2 linked regions of the Nothobranchius furzeri genome follow. Each later gene encodes a partner of the first gene's protein in a complex. Links are inferred from orthologs where the notes say so. Each region holds a gene or a part of one and is shown in the gene's direction. Other genes may lie near its edges.

Region 1 (3,756 bases):
ATCAGCTCTTTGACAACTATGATGTAAAAAAGGAATATCAAAAAGTAACACGTGTTAAACAGTGGTTCACAAGAACTTGAGCTTTAATAAAAAGGATGATTTAGAACAATGCGTGCCAGAAAAGATCACAACGTTGTCGCAAGATGTCAGATAAAAAAGAGCTTTCCATTCTCTGGTGGTGTTTATGTTTTTAAAATAGCATCAATATGTGAAGGCATCAATAACTTACTATATACTAGTATAAATACAAGCTCATTCATTAATTTCTATACCTTTTATTGTTTTTAAAGGAGGACATGTTGAGTTTATATGGACATTTAAAAGAAAAACTTCTGTGGCACGTTCTTTCACTCTTGTTTCAAATAATGTCAGATTTTTCATTTCTAAATAATTTTGTGCCACTTGAATTATTTCACTGACAGAAACGTATGCAGCTCATGGAACAAGAACAAAATAAGTTTGTGTGAAGATTTTTGTTTTATCACAAAACGTCACACAGTTGTGCAGCTATGTCCATGTGCCCATAAACTGTGTTACATAATGAAGTAGCTCTGGGGCTTGTGCCCCAGATGACCAGATCATTGCACAGTTGAGTCTGGAAGCAGGAGTTCAGCACCCATCTGCTCTTTGTGATTCACGCTTCAGTGTTTTTGTTTAGAGCCGACAAAAAAACAAACAGAAAATATCATTCCATTGGCTGCATTGTATTAGGTCATTTAAAATATATATGTTTATTAAAAGTATCAATTAAGACAAGTGGCAGGGATAAATGAAAAATGAAAAGATTTGTTTCATTTATTTCACGTGTACGGTGTTAGGGTTGTGATGTGTCCCAAGTATTTTACTCTCGATGCTTCTAATCATTTTTAATATAAGTTCTATTTAAAGCAATGCAGGGATACAAATATACGTACAAAGAACAAATATGTACACTGTTAAATATGTTATGTTAGTCGGAAAACAAAAAATGACACACATGAAAATAATAGGTATCTTTTGCTTTTGACTAGGATTCCCCAAGTACCCTGAAGGAGGCATGTGACGACAGACGCATGCGCACCGTTATACAGTCTGAATTGACCAATCACCGACGACTTCAGAAATACCGGGGTATACTTTCTGCGGACTACGCTTGCCTGTGAACGAAACTATCTAAAAAGCACATTTATTCACTTACATGAGGCGAACAGGCTGAACTGTAATTTCATCCAACTTTAAAACAGGTATAATAATCGTCTCCATTCAACTGTAGAGAAATTTAACATCAATTTAAATGAAGTCGAAACATGTGCGAGCGTTAGCATCTTAGCCAGCTCGCTAACCGTTTAGCGTCGCCGGTTGATTGTAACTAGGCTATGTTGTAGCATGCTACCACGGTTTTGGAATGTCTGGTACGAGTTTTCACATTTCTTAAGCAGTTTCAATGTCTGAACTTATCTATCGAACGGTATTCTGTTGACGTCCGTAAAGATTGATCTCTCAACTCGTCAAGCACATCATGCGCGCGCTGCAACTGTTCAGCTGTAATCTTTCTCATGTTTACCTTTCAAGCCTTTTCCCCCATGACGCATTTTTACGTTGGTAGATAAATAGTACAGTTTGTTATAACTCCAGGCAGCATAAAGAATTATAGGTTAGACCATCCAATTTTTAAAAGTAGTGTTTTATATCTTCAGTTATGCTGTATCTCAATGTAAACACAGGGTAAACTTGTTTTTATTTAATTAATCAAAAAGCTGCAAGGCAAGGAGGAGCTTTTATCCATGCATCATAAAAGTTATAACGTGACTGTAGAAGTGCACACTTGTCTAAAGTGAACATTGACTTCTTTGGGCTCTGAGCTGACGCATCTAAGATGAATCATAAACTGTAAAACATAGAGTATGTTTTTGGGTTCAGTTGTTTTTTAACTAAGGAGTTTGAAATGATTGTGATTGTAGTTGTTTACTATTTGATTACGGAGCATCATGTTCCCTTCAAGACAGTTGCACTCTGTCATTACTGACAGAGATACTGGCAAGCTATCCTGTCATGTAATCTGTTGTCTTTAATTACCTCTAACACAAAGTCTGTACAGTGTCAAACATTGTAAAATCACAACGTATTTTTGTTTATATTCCACATACTATTTTAAAGTTAAGCAAATTATGAAAATATTATATATTTTTTAGTGGAATATTTTATTGCACAAACCCAGACCCGCAAAACACTTACCATAGAGAACTGTTCAGTGTTTTCATTTCAAGTAAATCACATTTATAAACTTCTCTACCTGTTAAGAGTCATGGATGCAGAAGGGTTTGGAGAGCTTTTGCAGCAGGCAGAACAATTGGCTGCAGAAACAGAAGCTGTGTCTGAACTGCCACATGTGGAAAGGAACCTTCAGGAGATCCAGCAGGCTGGGGAAAGGCTTCGATCCCGCACCTTAACTCGCACCTCTCAAGATGCTGCAGATGTGAAAGCGTAAGCAACCTTTTTGGTTATTAAACCCTTTTCTTCCCCAGGTTATTAATCTCAGGCATGATGTTCAATTGATAGATTACTTTGCCTGCCAGCCTAGCCTGCCATCTAGTGGTGTCAATGTAAAATTACTTCTCTGCCAGTTGAAACCTCTCCAATCTTTTGTTCTTGTAACAGGTCCATCCTCCTTGGTACCAGAGGTTTAGACGTCTTCCACATTTCACAGAGACTGGAAACTCTAAGTGCTGCCACCACCTTTGAGCCCCTGGAACCAGTCAAGGACACTGACATACAGGTATGAATGAAACGAGAAGCCTTGGGTCCTGACACCTGCTAGCAAGTCTCTAATGCTTCAGATGCCTTACTAGTGCAAGCCTCATGTAAGATGAATAAGATAAACTTTTAATGCTCTAATGGTTGCGTGTGCCAAGCCTTTTTAAACATCCCCAACAGGACTTAAGGCTGCCAAATGTTTTCTAACTGATTGCTTATATTATTCCCTTGACATCAGTGGAATATGATTCTGTGCTGTGACACAGTGAGGCTTTCAGGAAGGTTGATGTTATAGGGCTCATAACAAACACTGTAAAACTAGATAATTGTGATTAATTCAGTCTCTTATCAGAGATAAGTGAAAAGAAAAACACTTAAAATTCTGAGCTCAGTGTTGGAAATAATCCCCTTGGATTTTAGCTTGGCAAGCCATCATCTATCTATCTATCTATCTATCTATCTATCTATCTATCCATCTATTCATCTATCTATCTATCTATCTATCTATCTATCTATCTATCTATCTATCTATCTATCTATCTATCTATCTATCTATCTATCTATCTATCTATATCTATCTATCTATCTATCTATCTATCTATCTATCTATCTATCTATCTATCTATCTATCTATCTATCTATCTATCTATCTATCTATCTATCTATCTATCTATTATCTATCTATCTATCTATCTATCTATCTATCTATCTATCTATCTATCTATCTATCTATCTATCTCTATCTATCTATCTATCTATCTATCTATCTATCTATCTATCTATCTATCTATCTATCTATCTATCTATCTATCTATTATCTATCTATCTATCTATCTATCTATCTATCTATCTATCTATCTATCTATCTATCATCTATCATCTATCATCTATCATCTATCTATCTATCTATCTATCTATCTATCTATCTATCTATCTATCTATCTATCTATCTATCTATCTATCTATCTATCTATCTATCTATTATCCATCATCTATTATCTATCTATTATCCATCATCTATTA
Region 2 (3,376 bases), on another chromosome or scaffold:
CACAAAGCTGACGTTCTAAGAGCTCAGCTCAGCAGCACTGGTGCAGTTTCTGTCTTTGAAGAGATTAATGTCTGTTGGAAAAATCCATTTCAAATATATGTTCTTTATTTTTTTCATTCCAAGAAAAGCTTCTGGTCAGATGTGAATGACCTGGCATGTCTGCATCTCTTCCTGCTGACACTTCTAATCATTCTGCCATGCCGCTAACTTTCCTGCAGGTGCTGATCAAACAGGAGATTCAGAGAAAAAGCGGTTATGCCATACAAGTGGACGAGGAGCATCTCAGAGTGCAGCTGGACACCATCCAGTCAGAACTCAATGCACCCACACAATTCAAGGCAAGTGTGTCTAAAGCAGAGCAGCGTTTCCTCTCAGTACACGGGTTCAGCCTTTAAAGCAGTAAAGCAGGAAATCAACTTCAAACTAATAGAAAGGCTTTAATGTTGACCTGAAACCATCTACTAGCACATTTACACCTTTCAGTCAGGCAGTACTTTATAAAACACATTTTCATTTTTATAGTCTGTATTCATAAGTAAACAAGATTCACCATATTTACGTTTAATTGTTGGAGTCTTTGTGAATCTAAAAGAACAGAGTGAACTAGAGGCCGGCCGATATATTCAGTTTTCTCTGTATCAGCCGAAATATTTAGGCCCTGTCCACACGTAGCCGGGGATCTGCCAAAACGTAGATATTTTTCTACGTTTCGGCCTGTCATCCACACGAAAACGGAGTTTTTTCACACGAAAACGGATCTTTTTAAAAACTCCGGCCAAAGTGAAGATCTGCGTTTTCTCCGTTTTGGGGGTCTGCGTGTGGACGGACAAAACCGGAGTTTTAAGGTCCGCAACGTCACTCTCCGCGACAAAAAAATGCTGACATCACGTGTTCGACCTGTGTTTACATTAGCCGGCATCATGGAAGCCCTCAGAGCTGCGCTCTGTCACTACCCGATCCATCAATTGTCCAAGCGCTTTCTGCTTGTTTGTTTTTGCAAGCGGAATTACTGCTCCTTGCGGAAGACCACAGACAAAGTACGAGGTTAAGAACGGGGGAAGTACTGCCGTCTACAGGTCTGGCATGTCCTTAACAACGTATTTATCCGGGTACGTGTGGACAGAGTTTGTTTTTAAAACGCAGTGGTGTGGATGCAAGTTTTTGGAGGGGCGGATATTCGTTTTCAAAAAACCCGGCTATGTGTGGACTAGGCCTTATTACAGCCGAAATATTTATTACAAGCCAATTAAAAAAAAAATCAGTCATTCGTGTGGCCAACTGCCTCCATTACTAAATTGAAGAAGGGACCCGAAGGACCCCAACACAGTCGGTTTTTTTTTATGTTTTGAGTTTGTTTTATATTTGAAGTTCAATAAATATTAAAAGATTTACAGACTTATTCATTTATTTTGCACACAGTGAGTGTTTAGTTGTCTTTCGCAATCAATGTGCTGCTGAAACACACATGCACACAAACACACACACAGAAATTGAATACACCTTCCAGTGCTACTTGGACACGTCATCAGTGAAGAACCCGGGGTCATAGGGTGTTTCGGGTCTTTAATCTTCATACACCCTCACCCGGGCGACCCAGCTGCCACACACACACACACACACACACACACATATAATAATCTGCTATAGACATCAGCCATGGGCAACAAAATTTTTAAAAAATCGGTATCGTCCTTTAAAAATAACCATATTGCTCGGCCTCTAGAGTGAACTTTGCAGCTATTAAATATTAAACTAGTTCTGCTTTTAGGACAAGCTCCATTTATTAATGTTGTGTTTGTGTCCTCTGGTCTTTCTCAGGGCCGGTTGAATGAGTTAATGTCTCAGATTCGAATGCAGAACCACTTTGGGGCTGTGAGGTCAGAGGAGCGCTACAGCGTTGATGCTGGTCTTCTCAGAGAAATCAAACAAGTAAGAGTCTACCTTTGCTCTTTAAAATCTGTCCTTTTGCTCCTGAACTTTTACTCAAGTTTCTAAAAACAAAATCCTGAACTTGTGACCTGAAGACTTGATACTTCTTGAAAAACTTCTTATATTGATTTTCTGAGTGAAAAAGAAGGAAAAACACCAATTATTTGCTTAAATTAAATAACAACTCATTGTGATAATTCCACGTGTTCGAGATCTCTAAAAGCACAGCTTTGTGTATCATGGCGGTTTATTTTAAACAGTGTTTGCGTTTCTCACACGTTCAGCACTTGAAGCAGCAGCAAGATGGTTTAAGTCACCTGATCAGCGTCATTAAAGAAGACCTGGAGGACATCAAACTGATAGAGCATGGACTGAGTGATCGTGGCCACACGAGAGGAGGCATCCTGAGCTGAGCCCAGGAGCCTGAATCAGTCTGGAGCGAGGCGTGCTTCTCACCCAGACCAGATATGTCTCGACCACAGCTCCAAAGGTCTAAATGAACAGACTCGGAAAGGATCTGTTTGCTCTCTTCTTGTGTTTTTGGTGGGTTTATTAAATCACACCTTTTTTAATCAATAAAAGAAAGCTTCTCTACATTCAGAAGCCTGATGGAGACTCAGTGGTGTCTAATAAAGCTGGCTACCCTTCAGTCTAATCAGATTATGGATTTGATGCGACTATAAATGTCTGGAGCAAGTAAACAAGGTAGGATTAAATGTGCTCCATGGTCTGAAACTATGTAAATACATGTTTGTCTTTCTTTTTTACACTATTAGAATAATAATAAATTTAGTGTAAAGCTGATAACAGTTGCGCTTCTTTACTTTGATTCAGGCTGAAATTTTAAAATTTCCACCTTTTTACTGGCCATTTTTCTGCCATGTTGGATTTCATGTTTAGACAGTTTGTTTATACGAGTCGTCTGACCTTCTCTGTTTACCTCCTCAGACTTTCACTTACCTGCATCTCATCCGAGCACGGCTGGAGCTAATAGGATTTATGTTGTGGATTTGCTTTCCTTTTGGGGTGAAGGCTTTCACACAGATTATTTCCCATCATGCAACAGTGTCGCCCACATCCAAACGTTCTGAATTAAATGTCAAAGAACAAATGAAAGTAAACATGAAAAATATTTTAAAAAGAACATTTAATAACAAGACGTGAATTTTAAAGTAAAGTATATTCCATAAAGCTTTAAAAGGGTAGAAGACACATGCGTGTCAGTAACTCCTAAAGCTCCGGGTCAATCCAGCCATCAGGTGTGTGAGGAGAGGTCCACCAGACGAAAGGCCTCCATGAACTATGTCTGAGCCAGATCAGTGATGGCCTCATCACTGATCTCCATCTTCAGATTTACAAACATTTGGCCTCAGCTACATTTCCATAAGAGCAACCCTACATACATAAGTAGTTTTCAGTGCTTGGTTTTGTCTTGAATCTGTTTCCA

What was found.
Region 2: nup93 (region 1) and nucleoporin p54 share a complex: the UniProt entries of both Homo sapiens proteins name them as parts of the p62 complex. The link is inferred for Nothobranchius furzeri from reciprocal best matches to the Homo sapiens genes NUP93 and NUP54.

Annotation. Positions count from the first base shown.
Region 1 is NC_091744.1:86,665,397-86,669,152, forward strand, and holds the start of nup93 (nuclear pore complex protein Nup93), read left to right. Parts: upstream 1-1,068; 5' UTR 1,069-1,223; intron 1,224-2,280; 5' UTR 2,281-2,284; coding exon 2,285-2,463; intron 2,464-2,637; coding exon 2,638-2,755; intron 2,756-3,756. UniProt on the Homo sapiens protein: Plays a role in the nuclear pore complex (NPC) assembly and/or maintenance. May anchor nucleoporins, but not NUP153 and TPR, to the NPC. During renal development, regulates podocyte migration and proliferation through SMAD4 signaling.
Region 2 is NC_091746.1:59,732,505-59,735,880, forward strand, and holds the end of nucleoporin p54, read left to right. Parts: intron 1-218; coding exon 219-338; intron 339-1,818; coding exon 1,819-1,929; intron 1,930-2,213; coding exon 2,214-2,342; 3' UTR 2,343-2,736; downstream 2,737-3,376. UniProt on the Homo sapiens protein: Component of the nuclear pore complex, a complex required for the trafficking across the nuclear membrane.